Lonchura striata: one gene and its partners. The protein of the gene in region 3 purifies or fractionates together with the protein of the main gene of each other region. This does not show direct contact. Links are inferred from orthologs where the notes say so. Each region holds a gene or a part of one and is shown on either strand. Other genes may lie near its edges.

Region 1 (6,997 bases), on a different chromosome or scaffold from region 3:
TCACAAAATTGCATTGTCAAAAGTTTCCTCCACAATATTACCATGTATAGTGGCAACTTCACTGCTGCCACCTCCTGAACATGTTACAGACAACAGACCTATCCAGGGCAACTGCAGTCTCAAAGAATCCTTCCTGAGCTCTACATACTGCTTTACAGTATGTTAAATAATTACTGCTGAACAAGTGCATCTTTACTGTCATTTCCTATCACATATGAAAGGGCTGCCTTACAAAACAAAGCCTTTGATAGAAATATTACAAAAGTGATCTGCATAACAATATCATCTCTTGAAAAACCAACCTCCCTAAATATACACAAGAAAAATTAATGGAATTGGTTCTTTGCATAAGCAAAATAAGCCAAAAATCAGACCTACCGAAAGAAAGCATGTGTTTACAGATCAGATCTTAGAAAACTGAGTTTTCAGAACATCTGTGTACTGACCATCTCTCAGGGGGAGAATGAAGAGTAGAGACAAGGCTGCCTTATTAACCAGGTAGAAGCACAAGTCAGAGTTTACTTCAGTATTTTAGAAAAAACACGTACAATATAATTTTGATATACTGCCCCCAAAAGACAAAGACATCCAAGAGTGCTCATAACTAAACGAAATCTCTCTTGGGAACTTCTGGGTAAAGTCATCCACTACCTCACAACAATCCAACAAGTCCAGGCAACTCTTGGCAAACCTCGGCAATAAAAGAACATCTCAAATTGAAATGAAATTCTCCTCACTCTGCTCCTGTGCTTAATACGACATACAAAGGATTTGGCCTTCACTGTAGTGGCCTGTTACTTCAGCCAAGTAAAATAAAGAAGCCACGCTCAAAAATAACTTTTACCTCACAGAGCAGCTTGATTGGTGACACAGTTAATCTACTGGCAGCTGGACAGAAGCTGTAATCTCATGTATTACAACCCTACTGCATGACCACAGCAGGCTGGACACTTCAAGAAGCTAATCAGAGCAAGTTTCAGTCCCATCCCATCTCTACATGTGTAGGTCTAGGAACATCTGGGACTCAAAATAGAAGCAGCCAGTTACAGGTCAAAGTAGCAAGGAAGCAATGGAAAGCCTTTTGCTTTGGCAGGATTGGGATTTAAGTCCCTGCTCAGATCTTCTAGAGGCACCTTTTCTAGAAAGTTTTTTTAACAGAGGTAATGTCTTGAGTGTGTAATTTCTTATAATTATGACTTCAGCTACACATCAATCTGGCCAATAATCCAACTTGCAGATTCCTAATTGCAAGCAGCTTTTTCCTTCTGTTGCTGCCAATGACATGTGTTCCAGAGCTATGCTCTCTTTTGGTAACTTCGTGCTATCCCATCTGTTTGCTCTTTCAACAGTTCAACAAGCTGATGTACAAGACAAGAGGCCACCATCTGAACACCTCGAGCACAACTAGAAAAAGAAACAGCTCTCTAACATGTACTGATATAAGAAAAAAAAATCAAGTGATATATTAGGAATATCTTCAGTATCTGATGAGAAAAAATAAGATGAACCATGAAGACCATGGAGCTACTGCCAAAACATAAAGCCTCAAACACCCGTCTTTCCAGACACCAAAAATCAGAAGTCCTTTAGACACGTGCAATAGTTTTCCCAGTTGTTCCCAATATTGCTGGGGTCTTATGTCTTTCATGCTCAAAATTTTCTTTTTTTTACTGTTGTCAATTTTGCTTCATATAATTTATTTGTTCATCTACTTTCACTGTTCGCTTTACGCATTTACGTCAAAAATCAACAACACTTTCTGTCTATAACTGCACAGATCAGAAGCACAAATCACCTTCAAGCCACTAGTGTCCTTTTAAACACAAAAAAATAAGCCAATCACAGTATTTTCATTGTGAAAGAGATGCCTTTTCACATTTCAGTCAGAGAAATACCTGCTAAAACAGAAATCTATTTGTCAAGCATTGCAACTATCACCACTAATGTAACCTGAAAATACAATCTTTGTTGGAGCATAATGACTCTAGTCACAAAGTGATTTATGGGAATGGGGCCAATGTGAGTAAATACAGCTGTTTGCATGGAACCGGCAGTAGAGTGAAATTGTAGCTGCCTGTCTTCTGAACTCTTAGCAGGTTACAGACTTGGGAGCTTACAGCAGGACATGTTCTCCACGCTCTTCCTTTCATGCTTTTCTTTTTTTATGCAGCCTTTCCTGACTCTGACAAAGTAACAGGTTTACACAGCAGAAGTTTCCTGTACTATAGTACCCTTTAAAATATGTTAAGAAGAAAAACACTTGCTTATTTGCAATGCTTTTTACTCTTTCTCCGCCCTCCCCGCCAAAAAATACTAAGCCTGAAGGCTTTTTTATTGTCTAACGTATCTCTTTATCCCACCCCACCCTCAGCTAGGGCCGCTGTGCAGAACAGAGCAGCAACAGACCAGATGGCATCCAAGAATCGAGGGGATCAGCTCGCACGGAGAAGCGAGAGACTCGCCAAGGCCATGCAGCTACAAGCCTGCGCGTCTGGCTTGGGGCATCAGCAGCAGCCCGGCCCTGAGGCCGGCTGTGACCAAAAGGACCATTCCATGCACTGCCCCGAGCCGCGGCCCTCCGGAGCGGCAGCGGCCCCGCCCGTGCGGGGCGGAAAGCGTCGCCGTGTCCCTGCCGGGGCCGCCCCGCGCCCCCAGCCTCGGACACGTACCCTAGGTCCTCCAGCGACTCCAGCACATCGTTCTCCAGGAACTCGAACTCCATCCTGCGGCGGGGCACGACAGCTGGACCTGCGCGACAGCGGGACTCAGCGCTACCAGTTCTCGCACTCCCACCGCCCGCCGTTCCCCCTTCTCCAGCCCATCCCGGCCTCGTGGTGGAGACTCAAGTCTCACCCCCTGCCCCGCGGCGAGGGAGAGCTCCCGGCGCCACGGCCCCTGTCCCGGGCCGCCCCAGCCCGCTGTCCCGCCCGGCCGCACGCACCACGCTCGCAGCTGCGCCGCCAACTGCCGGGCTGGCATCTCAGGGCGGGGAGAGCCGCGCCGAAGGCCCCCGGCCTCCCTCTTCATCCGGCTGCTCTAGGGCCGCCAGCCCCGCTGCCTGATCGGCGCCGCCCCCGTCCGCGGCGGTGTCCGCCTATCCGCCGAGCGGAACACCATTGCTAAACTGGGACGCGGATGCGAGGCCGGATAACAGGCCGTTCTTGCGGGAAAGGAGCCCGGGACGAGCCGAGGATCTCACTTTTGTGTTCAGGCGCCGGTAGGGCAGACCCGGAAGCGCAGCCCGCGCAGGAATGTGCTGCGGCGAGCGGCGTCGCGGCAACGGGCGGGGGCAGGGGGATAGGACGGGGCGGCAGAAGGGTCAAATCGTGCCAGGGAACGAGAGTCCGTCCCCCCCTTTCAGGACCCCGAGCTACGGCCGGGACCACAAATCCCGGCATGCCTTGCGCACGACAGGGCGGGAGGCGGCTGGCGCCGAATAAAATTAATAAAATTCATAAAATTAATAAATCGATGCCGGGCACGCAGCAATCCCACAGAAAGCACGTCAGTGCTGGAAGGGAGGCACGGTGAGAGGTTATGTTGGGATGGCTACACCACGCTGGGAAAAGCCAAAACCATTCGTGCCAAAAATTATGCCAGTCTGTCACCAGTAGCGAGCTGGTGCTGCAGGACCGACTCCTGTTCTTCATGAAACTGCCCTTGGCAGGCACGGTGAAGAAAAGCTGCAGTCAAAATATGAAGGATCTTGTAGCCTCAAGATAGGTAGGAAGATAAAGAATAGGCATTGTAGTCACCAGTTATATTACTAAAGACATGTCAATTTACACATTTGTAGGAAAATTGCCTCCTAAAGACTAAAATCTTAATGTCAGATGAATAATACAGGCATTCTGCTTTGTGTATTTGCTTTTAGTTGTATAGTGGTTAGTATAGTGTGGCCGCAGCCCACTCTGATTTTTTAAAAATAAAAGAGATAAAGGCTTCTGGCAAGCTGCCTTATCACTGCTGAGCTCTGAGAATTAACTGATTTTCCCTTTGTCCATTCATTTTTGATCCAAAGTATCTCAGGTGTTGTGCTTGGGAGCCTTGGCAGGGTGGGTAGCCTAAACTGGAGATCTGGGCAATTAGGATTTTCCTCACTAATTCAACACTGCTCCTGAAAGCTATGACCTTTTGCTTGTTTGGTCGACTTGGCGGGTTCTGTTTGGTTTTTGTTTTGTTGTTTTGCTTTTGTTTTTTTTTTATTTTTATGTAATGGTTGGATTCACCTTGCTTGCACAGGTGGAAGTGTACAAAGCTGGGTAGTATGTCCACAGAGTGTGGACTCTGCTCTGCTGCTTGTTGTCATGATAATGTTTACCCCTTATTTCTGAACCTTCTTTTTTCTTGCCCTAAATATAGGGTTTAAAAGCATTCATAGGAGCAAGCAGTACATGAAGTAATTAATTTTGTCACATTGACACTGTTCCTGTGTCCACTCCTGAATCTGCACATGTTGAGATACGAGGATTTTGTGCTAATTTCAGGAGGACATTTACTGTCATCTTACATTTACTGCTCAGATGAGCATTGGCACAGAAGGGTCATATTCATCTTGGCACCCAGCTGATGACATCTGCCTTCTGAAACAAATAAAAGTATTTCTCTCAGGTTCAGTTGTGCCAACACTGCAGGGTAGGGACAGTCTGGTAGGCATCTCCTCCAGTCTGTATCACTCAGTTCCATGACTGCTTTAACATCCCTTCTGTGCTGTGAGGACCAGCAGTTTCTTGAAAAACAGAAGGATCTTGTGGCTGGGGAGAAGAACAGTTGGAGGTGTGATGCTAGCTTGGAGCAGGCAGCTACAATTTTCTCCTGGGGACGGGGATGAGAGTTTTGTTTTGTCATTGTCTCTTATCAGTCATGACTTTTTCTTTTCCTACCAGCCTAGGGTTTTCACCACACAAATTTTGGAGGCATGGGAGGTGTGAATGGCCACTGTGCAGCATCCTGACCCCCTAGAAGAAATTAATTTTGCAATTGGACAGTTTTTGAGTACTTCTTGAACAAAATAATATTGTCCTGAGAAGTTTGCTGTTGCACAATGAGATCCAGAGCTCTGCAGACAGGTTACTTCTGAAAGCAGCAGCCACTCTGGCTATTGGCTCAGGGAAGAGCTGTAACTGGGGTAGATTTCCCTAAGCTACACAAGGCTCTGCAAACTTGTCAACCTGCAGAACTGAGCTCAACTCTCCTTGGGTTTGTTCTCTCCCTGGGGTAGGCTTGTTACATCTACTTCCCTCCCCACCCTGACTCACAGAGAGCTGCAGGACTGGGAATCCAATGTCCCTCAGGCAGCTTGACCGCAATGCCCTGGCTGGAGCCATCCATGGCTCCCTGCACTATGTCACCACTGGAAAAGCCATGTAGTACTGATTTCTCCTATGGGAAGAAGAAAACCAGCCCAGACTGCAGCTGTCCTCTTCATGGAACCCCTCTAAACCCCTCCTGGCCCCTTTAGCCCTGGAGGGATGGGGATGATGTGGTGGATATTGGTCAGGTGCTTCCAGGCTGCTACATACAGGTTAAGGAAAAGGCAGTTCATGCATGCCCTGAAGCTCTGCAACCCAAATATATTTATTCTGAGAGGTATGAGGTGCTCCACTGCTTGGATGCCAGTTGTCATTAAACAAAGACAATTGGTTTCCTGTGTACTTGCCTTTTGTGATTGATTTGTTTTGATGTTTGAGATGCTGTGAGCTCTGACTGAAGATAAACTACTTCCTCCTGTGCATATTCTCTCACAAGTAATAAAGTAAGGCTGTAGCCCCTCCTTCAGCTTTGCACCAAAAGAACCTGTCACCAGTGTAGAGGAGGCTTGTTGAATTTGCCCAGGTCACTGAAGACACACCCTGATGGTTCAAACCTCACTTCCACAGGAAAGCTAGCCAAAACCAACAACTTTAAGGCAGGGTTTATTTCATTACAGACAATTTATTTTCACAGGGTTTACACCACCCCACCTCAGGTTGGCTCTGTGGCTGTCAAAAATCCCATGACAGAGACATTAAATATGAAATCTGTACTTACAGAATAGCATGAAACACACATGAGTGTTACCAGATGCAGAGTGGTAAAGTGCTGCTAAGCACTTTTGTATCAAAACCGATTTTTTTACTGATTTCTGCAGGATGCTGCAGTTTCTTCAGTGTCTGGATGCAACAGAATCCAGCCACTGTGCTGAAGCTAAAAGCCCACTGTCTGTCAGACATACAGCTGGATTTGCCAGGTATCAAGGAATGTCAGTTCTGGCTCAGAGCATGCTGGATACCATGAAAGATCAAGAGCAGGACAATGACAAATGGCACTTCCCCTACTACTCACCCAGCTTTTGACTACTTTCAGCTCTCTGGACTTTCTTCAGTCCTTACTGCTGTGCCATGAGAGGATCAGAGGATCTGACCAGAGGATCTGCCTGAGAGGATCAAAGACCAGAGGGTACCAGGGCCAGCTAACAGGGGAACTGCCCAAGGCTGGATATTGAGTGGATGTGCAGTCTGTGGGTGCCAGCAAACTAACTGGGGCAGTGAGCCTTGAGGTCTTGCCATGATCAGGTATCTGCAGCTGGATGGAACAAGGATCCAGGGCTGACTACTGGATAAACGAGCATCTGTCCTGTTACTAAAAGGCCCATGCTGTATGTCTTCTCTGTATGTTCCACTGCACACCTTCATTCCAGAGAGGGGAAGAGGATTATGGCATTGGTCCTGTTTCCATTTGCAGAAGTGCTGTTTTCTAGTTTTATATGTGTTTGTCTGTGTGGCTGGCCATGTGCACACACATCAGCGTGTTTGTGTGCTTACTGGGAGTACACACACAGCCTTCATGCTGCCTAGACCTGGCGAGACAAAGATGCAGGCAGCTTCACTTCTGTTGTGCTACCAGGTTTATCAACTCCAACCAACACTTCTACTGCAGGCAGGAGGTAATTTCTGCTAAAGAACATGGATAAAATGCAGCCTTTGTGTAGCAAATAATTTTTTCACAGACCATGTTC
Region 2 (7,310 bases), on a different chromosome or scaffold from region 3:
GCTGGGCGCTGCTCAGCGACACAGGACACACGCAGGGTGAGCAACAGCAAGGGCAGGAGAGCCAAAGGACTGGGGCCAGGGCAAAAAGCTTAAGATTTAAAAAGCCCTGACTCAAAAACAAGTTTTGGCAAGCAAGTCTCAAAAATGCCCCTTGAATCAATCACCAAGCCTCAGAAGCAAAATCCCAGCCCCTATCCAAAAGCCCACACTCGAAAAGCAGGTTCAAAAAGGCTCCTAAGAGTCAAAAGGCAAAGGACGGAACAGCCCCCAAGGCTGTTCATTTTTATGCAGTTATTTTTATGGCCTTGTCTCCTCCCAAAGTCTGCCTGCTGACAGGAGTGCGTTGGCCCAGGCCAATGTCCCACTGCAGTCCATTGGCAGAGACCTTTTGCCATGGACTGCTGAGTGTCTCTGTAGTACAGTGCCTCTGGGATTCTCCTGCTGACACATGAACTGGCTGCCAGGCAAAGCTCCCCAGAGACAGGGCTTTCCTCTGTCCTCTCCTCGGTGCCTCCTGGACATGGCACACGTGCACCCCCTCCTCATGTGCCTCTGACAGCCATTGTTGAGGCATAATAAACCTAAACAGGCTCCTCACAACAAGGTTCAGTTTGCAAGGTCAGTCTGCTGAAACTTGCATTTCTGAAAATTAGGTGGTTGGCAGTACCAGGCATGTTTGTGGTTAAGAAAAGCACAATGTCCAGCAGGCAAAGCAGTAAGAATTTTGGAATCAGTAAAGTGAATTGCAAGAGAAGAATGGTCTGTTAACATGAAAATCCAAATAAGCAATGCAGTTATTGGGTTTTTTAAAATATAAAGTCGCTGTTAGAACAATCCTAAAGCCACCCAGTATATTCCTGAAGAAGCCAATATTGAGAAGATTCTGAAAATAATTGAGAACAGGTTTGAAAAATTCAATTGCTTTCCTGGAAAGAATCAATGCATTTAGGTTTACAGTGGTTTAAATTTATACTGCTACAAAAGAAAATCTAAAGACTGAAGAGATACCTGTCAAAGAACACCAGTTACCTAACACAACCTGTAATGAGTCAACTAATTAACAGCAATCTACAGGTATGTGACACCATTCATCCCCTGCCATAAAAGTGGTTTGCAAATGCATTACTGAAACATGTGCAGTAAAAAATATTATCTGCATTTTCCAGCACAGAAATGGAGGCTTAGAAAGACTACAGTGATTGCCATGGCAACAAAGAAAATGTGTGCCAAAACGAGAAAGGTACACAGGAATGTTTTGCTGTCTTATGTAGTGGTCTCCTTCTAGTTTTTTTTTGTTTTGTGCATACTTGCTTCTTTCCCATCGCTGTCACATCTCTGCTGGCTTGGCTCAGCTGCTTATTCCGCACATTTCATAAACATTTTCTGATTTGCAAGCTTTATATTAACTAACAATTTTTGTCATTGCATGTAATTAAATAATTTGATATTTTGATTTGGTTTGTAGTTTAAGGTTGCCTAGTACTAAGACATGGTTAAGAAGATACTATTTTAAGACATCTTAAAGCAGAAATAGTTTCTACTCTCAAATGAGATATGTGTATGTCTACAAAAGAGAATTAGTACCAGCAGCAAATTAGAATGAAGATTTTTTTTTTTTTTTTTTTTTTTTGATCAGGACACTGGCTAAAACACTCCTATTTTTCTTCAGGTTTTTAACTCTGGGTCAGATTTTCAGTTGTCATGAACAGACATTGCTCCAGGGAAATCCATGGCACATTCTCTGATTGAGAATGACCAAGTGAGTTTGTTATCCTACATATACTCCTGTAGATGGGGTTTTTTTTGTAAACCCACATATGGAAGGCAGGGATATCCTGGCCCTGTTGGCTGCATGCTCTTACCTGTAATAACTGGAGCCACCAGGCTGCACCGTGGAGAGCTGAGGCTCCTCTTACCTAGTGAGGTGTGTTAGAACCAGGCTTTGAGCCATCACAGCCTCACTGATGCCTTTGTGGCAGCTGCATTGGAAATTCTGTGATCTGTGATATGTCTGGGGACACCCAGAGGAGCCAAATCCCACATGTGGGGTTTGTTTTACCATTGAGCTTCTTCAGTTAAAGTTACTGAAATACCAAAAGACAATTATCTTTTAGCAGTAAGACACTAGTTCCTTTCTGCATTTCTTTAGGCTTATATAGCTGCACATGTATTCATTTCTGTAAAGCAATTAATGATCTTCTGTGATTTTCAAACCCTATTTCCTGTGTCAAGTTGTGAAGTGGAAGCCTATTTCAGATTTTTAAAAGACAAAGTTCTGCATATGAGCATCCCTCACTGTTTTAGCATTTCAAGGGATACAGCAGGTGAAAAAATCTATTTGGGCTCCAAGATAAGACTGGGGATTTTAGAAACATCTCAGTGATCCATCCCTTTCACAGGAGCAACAGCAGTGAGATTTCATTCAGAAGTGTGAGAGCTGAGAACAGAGTGTGAGGGCAAGCACTTTCTCTTCCTCCTCTCAAACTCAGGAGTGTCATTGTTCCATGTAAGATACTGCCAGTCCTCTGGACTTCACACAGACCTGGTCAGTCTTACAGGGGAAAAAAAATAAGCTTGGGAAAGAGTGCAAAATAGAGTAGCTGAGGTAAAAGGAAAGTGTGCTGTGCAAAAGGAGACGGTGAATTGCTAAATGAGGTTCAGAAGAGCACTAATTCATGCTCAATAATAAATTGGATGGATAAACATTGTAGGGAGAAAAATAACTGAGCTCAGGAAAATAACTGATTGTCTGGACTCTGCATGGACATGCTAGCTGAAAAGTGGAAGGTTTCCAACAATAAGAGGACTGTTTCTATTTCCAGTATGATGGGAAGGAAACCACCTGCAGAGGAGTTTTTTGACCAAATGGAGCTTAGTATGTTGATGACACTTGGCAGCAGCAATCAGTGGCTCTGGAAATCAATGGCCAGGGTTGTGTTTCTTTGAAGTAAAGCAGCACTTTACAAGGACTGGGGATAATTAACCAAACAGTGTGTAAGTTTTATATAATGGAACACAATCTGCCCCCAGCTATTTTGTAAACAAAACAAATAGGGGTAAATGGGTTGTCTGATCTCAACATTGTGCCTGTTTCACTGTGGTGAGGAAGAATAGATCTTCCCACTGTACGCCCTGAGGAGTCCCTGAATTCATTGTACCTATTTAGAGGAAAAAGAATCGAAACATCTAAATATGGGAACCTCCATAGCCATAATTTTACGGTTGTATAGTTGCTCATCCACCAACATCTCCAAGTTTCTCCCCAGGAATAGCCTCAGTCCATTCTCTGCCCAGCCTGTACCTGGGCAGAACCTTTTGTTCAAATGCATGAGGTTGGCCAAGAGGCCCCTTTCAACCTGTGAAAATCCCACTGGTTGGCATCCCTTCCTTCCACTTAAAACATGCCAATTTAAAGACACTATTTACAAACACACTCTGCTTTGAAAGCTTGACCTTGCCAATAACCTTTTGGGAAGGATTCAGATGTTCAACTGTAGTTTTGTAACCAATAGTGATAGATGACAACTGTATGTGTATGGTTAAACACCCATGCCCGGTATAATGGTTAAATTCTGGCAACATTCAACAGAATCCTCTTGGGGACTAAACCATTCTCTGCTTGGGGTTTCGATGGCAGGGCTGGTTTCAGCGGCCCACGGGAGCTCCTGCCGCGGTCATGTCGGGTGGCTCGGGCCGGCGCTGCGGGACGCGCGGCGCTCGGCGGCGGGCGGAGCCGCCCCGCCGGCGGTCCAAGGCAGCCCTCTGCCGGCCGCTGCTCTTCCGGAGCAGCTGCTTCGGCTCCCCCGCATCAGTCACCGCTCCCAACACGCGGAGTGGCCTCGGGAGAGGCGCCGGGGCGTGAAACAGACTGGGGTTGTGCATTCTGATCAGGGGCTTTCTGTGTACGAACCGGCCAGGGCTGGAGTTCGTTCATTTGTTGCTGATTTTTCTTTTTTCTTTTTTTTTTTTTCTTTTTTGAGGGTGCTGATTGTTGGGTGCTTTCACATTTTTTGCGGCTTAGCCGCTCCTTCTCTCCTGGCGCTGTGCATCCGCTCCCGGCAGGGCTGACAGCGGGGAGGTCCCGCCCGGCCCCGGAGCGGCCCGGCTCCGCGCGCCAACGGCCGCCGCTGCGACAGCCAATCAGAGCGGGGCGCTGCCTGCCGACGGCCAATCAGAGCGGGGCGCTGCCTGCCGACGGCCAATCAGAGCGGGGCGCTGCCGCCGAGAGCCAATGAGGGCGCGGCGCTGGCGGCCGGCAGATGCGCGGGCGGTTTGAAGCCGAGCGGGAGGAATGGCGGAGCTGCGGCCGCCGGGACCGCGGGGGGACGGCCGGGACTCGCCGGCGGCAGGCACCGGCCCTGGGGACCGCCCCGAGCAGACCGAGGGTACGGACGGCGTGTGCCTGCGGGCAGGGAGGGCGCGGGCAGCGGGCAGGGCCGGGCAGCGGGCAGGGCCGGGCAGCCCTCGCCCCGCGCTCGGGCGGTGCCCGAGGTGCCCTACACGCTGCGGACACGAGGGCGGCCGGCTCGGGCTGTGCTGTCCGCGCTGCTCCGCCGGGGCCCGGATCCCCCATGCAGGGTAAGCCCGCTTGGCCGCACGTCCCTGGCACCGGGCTGGAAACGAGGGGAGGGATGTCTCTGGAAATCAGCACTAAAATGTGGCGTAGTTTTCTTTTTGTTAATCGTGAAGTTCTAGTGTGTTTCTCAGTGCCTACCACGGCGCTGAAATGGGCGCCCAGGAACGTATGTGGGTTTGAAACGCTTCAGCAGGGCTAAGTTAAGGCGTGCTGTAGGAGCAGACTCGTGATAGACCTGGAGCTGAACAGGAGCAGGAGTGAGTGAGTGAGTGCTCGAAGTGACAGGGGTTTGCTTTACCCCTCCTCTTCGCAGGTCTGCAGCGGGAAGATGCCGAGAGTGATTGGAGTGCTGACTCCTGGAGTGACTATGGCAGTCGTGACAAACCAGGGACTGCTTTGGGAAGGACGGTGCCAGACGGGAACGTGCTTTTCCCAGATATTTTCCACACCAATCATCTTTTGTTTTATGACCGATTCAGCGCTTACCAGGATTATATCTTGTGTAAGTAATTTTTTCATAGGAAAGTAAGGCAGACTTGGGTTTCTTGTAGTAACTTTAAACAATTCAGTTTAAGTGGAGTTAATTGTATGTCTTAAGCCGTGAGATGACTTTAATAAAGGAGGAAAAGATAGAGTGTCCTGCCATCACTTATGCTGTAACCTCAGCTGCTCTAGCTGGTGAACCAGGAGGCAGTAATTTTGATATAAGTAAATAAACTATGAATGATGGAAAGGCAGAACTGTCAGTAAGCTGTGGATCGTGTACCTTGTTTTAGCTATCTTCCTAATTTTTTTTGTGTATTGTAAATCTCTTTAAGATAAGGCACAGGTTATGTGTTTAATACTGTTGTATTTAATATTCTGTTATCGTGAGCATAGTATAATGCAGTCCAACTTAGAGGCGGTAGAGGAACATTTCAATTGTGTTGACTTTCATTTTCCAGTGATCTGGAGTTTTCTTCCACTCCTTGCATAAACAGTGTCTTCAATTTCTTTTAGCTGACTGCAAAGCTTCTGAGGTGAAGCAGTTCATAGCTGAGTACCTGGAGAAGGTCCTTGAGCCCTCTGGCTGGCAGGCGATCTGGCGCACTAACGTGTTTGAGGTCCTCCTTAGGGTGAGTGGGTTGCTGCTGCTGCTCAGGCATTTGTCTCCACTTAACATCATTTACCTCTCTAACAGACTTCTAAGTCTCTCAATGTCCAGGTCGTATGTCTGTCTTGCAAACCTTGGATATTTAAACTTGCGGTACCATCACATGGTTGAGGAGGGAAAAAGTTTGTGACCCCCTCAGCTCTTTTCTGCCCAGTTAGTGACAGAATGGCTTTCACTGGCCCAGACTGTCTCTGGATTGTTTGTGTCCTGTGGGCACTTTGAAAAATGAACCTCAAAGGAGTCCCAAAGGGCTGTGAAATACTGATTTGAGTCTGAGGATATCACTTCTGCCATTTTTTAAAAACACCAACACAAAAAGAAAGGGAGGGGTGGAAGCAACTTAATGGCCTTCTTATGAGTATTATGAGGGATTTGAATGAAGTTTTGGATGTGGAAAAGGCACTTTAGCTGTGGGGCTGTGAGAAGCTTAACTCTGGGTTATCACTTCAGCTGATGAGATGGCCTTGGCTGTATGGTACCGTTTCTGTTGGTTTGTGTGGGGTCAGTGGGGACCCGGCATGGCCCTGGCTGAGGCACATCACGTTCCCCTCCCTCAGCTGATCCGGGCTTCTGAGGGATTCAGAGCTGTTTGTTCCCACAGGTGGTTGATGTGAATTTCCCAGCCCTGAAGGCAGTTGTGCAGCTCAGTGAGCCCTTCCTGTGCGAGTCCCAGGACAGCAGCTTTACCCTGGAGTGCATGCAGGAGCTCCTGGAGCTGAAGGAACATCAGATCCTGCTGCAGGAGCTGTGGGTTGTATATGATGAGTCAGGAGAGTTTGACCAGACAGCACTAGCCATAGAGCATGTCAGGTAGGACAACTGCACCCTGCTGGTACCCAGTGGGTTCTGTCCTGAATTCTTGGGCCATACTGGCAGCTCCACAAGCCAAGCTTTCCAAAGTAAATCTGATGACTGGTGCTCTGAGGAGACTGCTTTCCCTCTCTCTTTTTCACCACAGAGTTCCTTGGACTGTATCACCTGTTGACTAGTATACTGTTCTTTCTCCTCAATAACATTTTGGTGGATTTTTCTCTTTTTTTTTTTTTTTTTTTTTTTTTGTCCCATTCATTTTTCTGCATTTTGCCTCTTCCCTTAAATTTGCTCTTTATTCTTTAGGTGTCTCTTCACATATTATTTTTTTTCTTCTTTATTATCTGTCTCTTTTCCACCTCCTTTTCTTTCAGGCACTACATGCTGTTTGAAATCTCTACAAATAAGCTGTAGGACTGGACAAAAAAACTGATATAGGAGGAATGACCTACATTGTAAGAAAGAAAGATTAGCTGAGGGGTGATTGGCCAAAACCAAGTAACCAGAAAGCCTCAGAATCTGAAGAGTGTCAGTCTTGCTTTTCAAAACCAGGTTTTGGCTGGTTTCACTCCTTTTTGAGAAAGTAGAACACAGGTTATTATGAATTCTGAGCTTAGACACACAGAATAGAACTCTATGATGACTTTGTATGTACTGAGCAGTGTATGGGACAGTAATATGAATTTCTAGTGAGAGGTGATGCTTTGAGGTGAATTTTCAAATTGGTTACATTGTGTTTCCAGTGCTTTGACTCTTCTCTCCTGTGTGGTT
Region 3 (7,721 bases):
AGCAGGCTCGGAAATGCAAATCAGCTCAGCCAGGTTAATATCCCAGTAATCTAAACACAAAGGGTCTCTGGAGATCAACCCCCTCCCCTCGGGCTTTACAGGGGAGGAGAACTTGAGAAATGGAGTTACATTACCAGTGAGTCATCGCTCTTGTCAAAGCTGATGTCTGACAGAATTGAGCCAGATTCATCTATTGTAGACAGCCTAAAAAAACACAAATTAGAAGAAGCTTGTATCAGTTTGGCTTTCAGTCAGTCACGGTTCCAGAACAATCCCACTGACTCAGAAGAGCCGTATTTTAAAGTGGAACAAAAAGGGAAACTGCTGACATGGGTGCAGGATGTGTCACAGGGGCCGACAGCTGGATTGATGCCTGACACTTCAGATGAAATGCTGTTTCCCTACCTTTTGTTGCCTGCACTTCCCACTGAAGCCTGTGGCCTGTTCAGGAAGGCGAGGACAGACTTCTGCTCCTCGCTGAGCTGGATGCTGCCGGAGGCATCACACATGAGCAGCTCCCGAATCAGCTGGATTTGCCTCTCCTTCAAACAAAGATAATATCAGCAGCTGGATACACCGTGTTTAATTACTGTAAGACCCGACCCAGCGCTTGAGATAGCCGAGATAAGCTCTCAGAACTTGTGTCAATGGACTGCTAATGGCTGCAGACAGGTAATGGCAGCTAGGTTCCATCAGCAGCCAGTCTCCTTTCCCAGATCAAAGCAGCAGGCTGCTCCGAGGAGCCGAGCCAATTCCTTGCTTTTTAGTTTTCCTTTCCTCCCCATGGGTGCCAGTCCTTATTTGCCACTGATCAGTGCAGTTTAATCGCCTTGTCTCCACACTCTCAAGAGCTGAGGGGTAACACAGGAATTACTCACCAGCTTCTCACAGTCCATTTCAGCTTTTTGCCTCCTTTTGATCTCCACGTCCACCTGATTGCGGGCATGTTTCAGTTTCACGTCCAGGGCACTGCGTTCAGCTTCTGTCTTCATGAGGCGATCTTTGCACCTGCTGAGCTCCTCCTCTATTTTCTGCCATTTCCTCCGGTTCTCCTCAAAGTTCTTGGCTAACTGAATAAACTCTGAGGAGAAAGCACATGAAGCCTTAGCTGGGCAAGCAGAGGAGCAGCTAACAGCAGCTTCACAAAGAATCCCTGGATTCCTGAGGTTGGAAAAGACCCAATCCCCACCTTGTCACCCAGCCCACAGCACCACGTCCAGCCATTCCTTGGACACCTCCAGGGATGTGTCCAAACCTCCCTGGGCAGACCCCTCCAATCCCCAACTGGCTTTTCCAGGAAGACATTCTTCCTCCTGCTCCCAACTGAGGCATGGAGAAGCCAGCCACACAAGAGATGGCCATGAGCTCTTCCATTTCTCATTTTTTTCTTCCTTTCAGCACCACCCAGAAGAGCTGGAACACAGGACAAAGCCAGTTTGCTACAAGCAGAACGTGACCCTGCATGGAAATTCAGCTGGGACTTGATGTTTCTCCACAAAGGAAGAGCCCAGATCAGTCTGGTTTTAGCATCTTCAGCAGATTCTTCAGGGACAAAACTCACGGCATTCGTTTCCTTCGCTCAGAAGCTCGGCCTGGCGCGTGAGATGCTCGTACAGACCCCGCAGGTTCACCATGGCAATCTCCATCCTCCTGCCAAAAAAACACAGCTGAACAAGCAGCTCAACCCTTCCCTCCCACCTCCGAGCAGAAACCAGCCCAAAGGAAAGAGAACCAGCCTCAGAGTTACTGGTTGTAATGCTTTCAGGCGGGTTTGAGAAGCTGCACAAACAAAATTCATGTTTTATGGAGATATATGCATCTACTTTTTCTCATTGGGAATGAAAATCTACAGCCCTCCACGGTTTATGGATAACAGAGCCTTGGAGAGAGGCAGATCTGCCCACCTTAGTGCTTCCACTGTCCCGCGGCACAGCAGAGACACTCACAACCCAAGGCAAGATGAGGGATCCCAAGTCCTTCCCTTCAGAAAGGTTACAGAACACAGCCCATGCCCTGCCCACAAATAACTTGGTACTATCTAGGCCACTAAAAACCTGCAAGTTTTCAGCACTTTGTAAGATAAAAATAGGAGCAACATTCCGGGGAATTTTAATACAGTTTTATATTTAGCTGCATTTTAACTTACAGCTCCTCCTGCAAATAGCTGTTAAAATTCAACCAGTCAGCACATTTCTCCCAAACAGCAGCAACAACGGCATAAACAGAGGCAGCGAAGGGGAAAGTCTCCAGCTCAGCAAGACAGAAATGATTTCACAAATGAGAGAGGAGCAGGCAGGGCACCAGGGGCTGGGAAATGAGCGAGTGCTGGAAGGCTTGGGAGAGGTGCAGGGCACATAAACCTGCCAGCACAGAAGGCTTTGGGGTACCTGTTCCACAGGTACAGACTTCACAGGGGCATCAACACCTCGATACTTTAATAGGTGCAATACGAGGCGAGAGGAAAAGCTCTGCCCCCGTCGTGCGAACGCACAGCGCGGGGCACGCCCAGCTCGGTGCCTCAATTACCAGCACCAGCATCACCATCATCACCAGCATCACCATCACCACCATCACCGCGACCCCCGAGGCCGCAGGGACGGGAGCAGCCCGGCCCGTACAGCGCCCTCCGAGCCGGGCGGCCGGGGCTGCGACAGCGCCGGGATGGAAGGGCCTGGGCGGGCCCGGGATCCTTCCCCCCAGGGCCCCCCTCAGCCTTCAGGATGCCCCGCAGTCCCCTCAGCCCCGGTTCCTCCGAGCCGGTCCCCGCACTCACCCGAGCCCCTCAGGCTCCCCCGAGCCCCCGGTTCCTCCGAGCCGGTCCCCGCACTCACCCGAGCCCCTCAGGCTCCCCCGAGCCCCCGGTTCCTCCCAGCCGGTCCCCGCACTCACCCGAGTCCCTCAGGCTCCCCCGAGCCCCCGGTTCCTCCCAGCCGGTCCCCGCACTCACCCGAGCCCCTCAGGCTCCCCCGAGCCCCCGGTTCCTCCCAGCCGGTCCCCGCACTCACCCGAGCCCCTCAGGCTCCCCCGAGCCCCCGGTTCCTCCCAGCCGGTCCCCGCACTCACCCGAGCCCCTCAGGCTCCCCTCAGGCTCCGGCGCCCGGGCCGCGGCTCCGGCCCCAGCGGCGCGCGCAGCCCCAACGGCCCCGCGCTCCGGTTTGAATCCGCGCCGCCAGCCAATCGCCGCGCGCCCCGGCTCCCCCCGTCCCCTCCCCCTGCCTCTCGTTGGCTGCGCTCAGTGGGCTCCTTGAAGCCAGCCCGGTGCCATGTCTGCTGAGGGCGCGGTCTGCCTGCCCGGCGGGGCGCGGCTGCCCGCGCGCTGAAGCCGCCCAGGTGCCATATTTTGTGATGGCGGATGGTGCCAGCGCTCGTTGCTTAGCAACGGGGACGCCGGGAGGGCCCGGGACCCTCAGGCCTGGGCCTGCTCCGTGCCCACCGCTCCAGAGGGGCTGTTCGGGGCAGGAAAAGCCCTTCTCAGGCCAAACCGGGTTGTTATTTCCAGCAAAGCCACGGGCGCAGGGCTCGTGTGGGCCTGAGCGCCCCGTGCTGGTTCTGCAAAGGGTCAGGGCAAGGGGCTGGGTGCAGCGGGAGAACGTTGAAATTCACCGTGAGGCTGTTTATGGGGTGCTGTCACTTGAGAAATACAATGCTTTGCCTGCTCCTCGTCTCCAAACTTTGATTTGAGTAACAGCCGGCAACTTGCGCCAAAGGCAAAACCCATTTCAAGCCACGTATGACTCTTCCCTGTGCAGGCGTTTAATATGCAAACAGATAAAACCCAAACCCAACAATTACACAAAGGGAATTCACATAATCATAAAATAACAACGTGCTTTAATCTTTTAAATCTGAAACAAAACAGCGGGTAATTGAAGAATGGATATTAGCAATTAGAAAGCGGAACTAAATGCTGAAAATTGCGCAGTGGAAAAGGGAGTTTGTAAAGCAGATTGCTCTCATCATCCAGCTGCTTTGTTGGAACTGCTTTATTTAGGGTATATAGTTTGTTTTAACTTAATAATAATTAATTTGTAATAGATTGTAAAAAGCCTTAGGATCTTTGGGAAAGTAAATGTTACTGAGGCTTCCTTGAAGAAGAGAGCCAAAATTATCCACATTTATAGGGGAACTGAGGCCTAGAAGAGACACAACTCATCCTCAGAGCCAATGGCCAAGCGAGAGAAAGGTCCTGACCTTGACGTATTAACTTTTAGTCCAGGAAATCACCCAAAATCCCAATTTGCCCCTGAAGTTGGAGGTTGACAGTTACACCTGGCTCTGTGCAGGTACATCCCCCCAATTGTGATGAGGCTCGGCTGCTTCAGCCCCGAGTCTCCTGCAGCTCCTGCCTGTAATTAAATCTTCACAGCTAAGATGCCTCTATTGGCAGATTGTATTTATAGGCAGGCGAGTTGTTTTAGTGTCGTTCTGAAGAGTTAAGGAGGCTTTTTGCTCATAAGCAAATTCTGTTCTCTTTCAAATCGTCATCCGCAATCTCGTGCCAATAAAAAAAAAAAAGCACATTATTTTAGATTATTGCCCCCGCGGTGCTTGTTGTGCGTTACTGCAGTAGGTGCTGGGCTTGTGTTACACAAATTGCATTTCTTCCATATGTGTTCCACCATCGTCCTCCCTCTGAATCGGGAGGGCAGCAGGATCTGAGCACCCCAAAAAGCTTCTCAGAACTGCCCCAACCTGTGCTGTGGACCTGGCAAATGGGCCCCTGCTCTCAGGCCCAGGCTCTAAAACCATTGTGGAGTTTCTTTCCTCCTCCTTGGTTGATGAATGATGAGAGCACAGAGATCAGCAGCACCTTTCCTTTGGAGCTTTATTCCACAGGAGAAGAAAGGCAGAAGGACTGAGGGCCTTTTCAGGAGCTGCTTTATGGCAAAGTAATTATATTCTCTTTTTGTTTGTGTCAGGAAGAGGGGGGGAGAAGCCTTGAAATGTCTCATCTGGGAAACCGTTAATAGAATTTATGCTAATTTGATGATTCCGGCGATTACTGGCGGAAGCACTTCACATTCTCAGGCAGCAGAAATTCTCCTCCAGCTCCTCCCTCAGCCTCGCTGGGTTGCTCTTCAGCCCTTTCTCCTCCAGCCACCCCAGACCCTTCTCTGGGCAACACCGGCTGAGCCCGGAATGTGACCCTGGGATGAGACCCCAGGATGTCACCAGGATTGGTGCTGATGCCAGTGGCATTCCCTGGTGACCCCATTCCTCAATTTTTGGGGAAAATGGAAGGAAACCTGCCCCAGTGCCTCGCAGTGTGCGCAAAGAGCAAAGCCAAACCTCTCCCTGCCAGCCTCATCCTCTGGTGAAGCTTTGCAAACACCGATTGCTCTGCCCAGCTCCTGTAATTAACTCTGCAATTGCAAACCCATTTGTGCAGCTTTGTGCACAGGGGAAACCTTTATTAAGTTCCTTTTAATCCAAAACCAGTTAGACCACGATGGTCTTCATAAACAGTCATTCAAAAAATAAAAAGGCAGGGGGAAGCGAGGGGAATGAGAAACTTTAAGACAGCAACCTTTCTCCAGGGAAAAAAAATGGGGGGAAATTATCTTAGGTGCATTTCTCTTGGTTCATTCATACAGCAGGGGTGTTAAAAAGGAGTTGTTCAGTAGTGTGAGGAAAAAATCCATCAGGCTGGGCAGGGGGGGCAGTTGGAGTTTAGCCAGAGGGAGATGGACCTTTTAGAGAATTAATTTCTGATTTCTCCTGGCTGGCCAGAGCCAGAGGCCGGCAGATGGCATCAGGCTCATGTGCTGGGTGGGAGCTGCAGGGCCTCGGCCATCCCTCAGCTGGGCAAAATGTGGCCAGAGCATCACCCACGGGGGCTGGCAGGAGGGGAATGAGGAGCCCATGGGGTTTGTAACGAGGGGATAAAGGAGCCCATGGGGTCTGTGGGGAGGGGGATGATGAGACCATGGGGTCTGTGAGGAGGGGGAAAAAGGGGCTCTGGTTTTGCCATCAGTCCAGCAACAAACCAGGTTCATCTGTGATGTCCCACCTGAGAGAACCCGGGATGTTTCTTTCATCAACTTTGGGGTGAAGATCACTTGGATGGGATGAGCCAAACCCACCGGTGCATTAATGCCAGCAGAGAAGCCACGGCCTTACCCTGAACTCCTTAAAAAACAAAGGGAGTCTCTATTGCCTTCATCTGGCTTTTAATGAATGACCTCTTGTCGCCGGGAGCTGCGTGCGGTGACAAAGGACCTCTGTGGGCCGATATTTATGATTTCATTTAAGCCGGGGAGTAAGCTAAGGGAGAGGGCTGGGAAATAAAAGCTGAGCTGATGGTTCTGTCTTTAAACTCAAGGGATCTTTATCTAGTTTTTGTATTAATACAGTTGTCATCTCTTAAATATTTGAGCGACTCACAGCCATGAACGCTCCCACGCCGGAGGGACTCATTGACTCCGGCTCTCCCAAGCCCACACCCTCCTCTGGACCCAAATGCTGGGAGCAGGGAAGGGTTTGCATTTTCTCAGTGCCCCCCAAACCCTACCCACACATGAAGCCTGCTGTGAGTGCCCACGACCTGCTTGTGGGGGGCCCCGGGCTCCAACACCCCTCCCCACACCAGCGACTTGCCAACACTGATAAATTTTTGCCTTTTCCTTCGGCAGGCCTTGGTGGAGGATTAAACAGCTGGGAGTCGGGAGTGAGAGCGTGTCCCCTCTCCTTTGCCATGCAAACAGAGAAAATTAATCTTCCAGCTTCCTCTGATATTTGGGCTGAATTACAAGCTGGGAGCGGAGATAAAGCGCGGGCGAAGGAAGGCACAGGTACAGCGGAGCCAGGCTGCTGGCACAGGCCTTTGTCCATGCAGATAACGCTCCCCTCCTGGAGTCATGCATAATTCACCAGCCTGCCTCCCTGTCCTGGTCATCCCTCCCTCCTCTTGCTCGCTCTGTTCTCCCTGAGCAGCTGGAAGCTCCATGTCCGAGCGAGCCATCGTGTGTTTGTGTGCAGAGACACATCAAATCTCCCTGACAGCATGGGTCTTGTTGGGACAAAGGTAAAGGGACCTTGTGCCCTCTGCCTGGAGGCTGATGGAGCTGTGGGTGACACCTGTGCTGGCATGGGACACTGGTGTCACCCTGCAGTCACACCTGCAATCCATCCAAGGCACAGCAGCACGCCCGCTCCTGCCAGGGCCGGGGCTGTGTTTGAGATGCCCATCACATCCCAGCTGTGCTAACCACACTATCTCCCTAAATCCCTCCACGTTACACTTGGAGAGAGGTTACATCCTCCGGGATACCTGGCCCAGCATTAACAGACACCAACTGCATTTTATTTGGTCGATCATCCGGAGGCTCTTGACAGAACTGTGCCACACAGAGCGGGAAAGCCATGGAGGTTTTCCACAGCCACCAGGAGTTCCTCTCCCAGAACAAAACAAGAACAACCTCGGTCACTCCCAGCCAAACAGCAAACAAACACACACACACACACACACCTGCTTAATGATTTTTGCTTTGTAAACCAAAGCGGTGCCATGAGTTTAATAACCACTGCTTGGGAGTAATTGGGGCGATTATTGTATGGCCCAGGGGGAAAATTGCAGCTTGTTATCTCCAGGGAGTAGCATTAGGATCCAGCAGATAATCAGACCGTTATTTGTTGCACTTCAGAATGACATTTCTCATGGATTTAAAAACGATAGTGATCAAGGCATGTTGTCAGAGCCACTGCCAAACTGCAGAGTCCAG

Evidence for each region.
Region 1: the proteins of RACGAP1 (region 3) and FAM98A purify together in Homo sapiens (co-immunoprecipitation; 3 studies listed by BioGRID and IntAct, with this or other methods). This does not show direct contact. The link is inferred for Lonchura striata from reciprocal best matches to the Homo sapiens genes RACGAP1 and FAM98A.
Region 2: the proteins of RACGAP1 (region 3) and SHCBP1 purify together in Homo sapiens (affinity purification with mass spectrometry; 8 studies listed by BioGRID and IntAct, counting the BioPlex papers as one, with this or other methods). This does not show direct contact. The link is inferred for Lonchura striata from reciprocal best matches to the Homo sapiens genes RACGAP1 and SHCBP1.

Annotation. Positions count from the first base shown.
Region 1 is NC_134605.1:35,871,086-35,878,082, forward strand, and holds the start of FAM98A (protein FAM98A), read right to left. Parts: upstream 3,020-6,997; 5' UTR 2,942-3,019; intron 2,749-2,941; 5' UTR 2,723-2,748; coding exon 2,670-2,722; intron 1-2,669. UniProt on the Homo sapiens protein: Positively stimulates PRMT1-induced protein arginine methylation. Involved in skeletal homeostasis. Positively regulates lysosome peripheral distribution and ruffled border formation in osteoclasts.
Region 2 is NC_134615.1:9,849,956-9,857,265, reverse strand, and holds the start of SHCBP1 (SHC SH2 domain-binding protein 1), read left to right. Parts: upstream 1-4,291; coding exon 4,292-4,385; intron 4,386-4,889; coding exon 4,890-5,078; intron 5,079-5,575; coding exon 5,576-5,691; intron 5,692-6,330; coding exon 6,331-6,539; intron 6,540-7,310. UniProt on the Homo sapiens protein: May play a role in signaling pathways governing cellular proliferation, cell growth and differentiation. May be a component of a novel signaling pathway downstream of Shc. Acts as a positive regulator of FGF signaling in neural progenitor cells.
Region 3 is NC_134629.1:8,762,184-8,769,904, forward strand, and holds the start of RACGAP1 (rac GTPase-activating protein 1), read right to left. Parts: upstream 3,123-7,721; 5' UTR 3,064-3,122; intron 1,651-3,063; 5' UTR 1,647-1,650; coding exon 1,562-1,646; intron 1,082-1,561; coding exon 879-1,081; intron 543-878; coding exon 406-542; intron 205-405; coding exon 135-204; intron 1-134.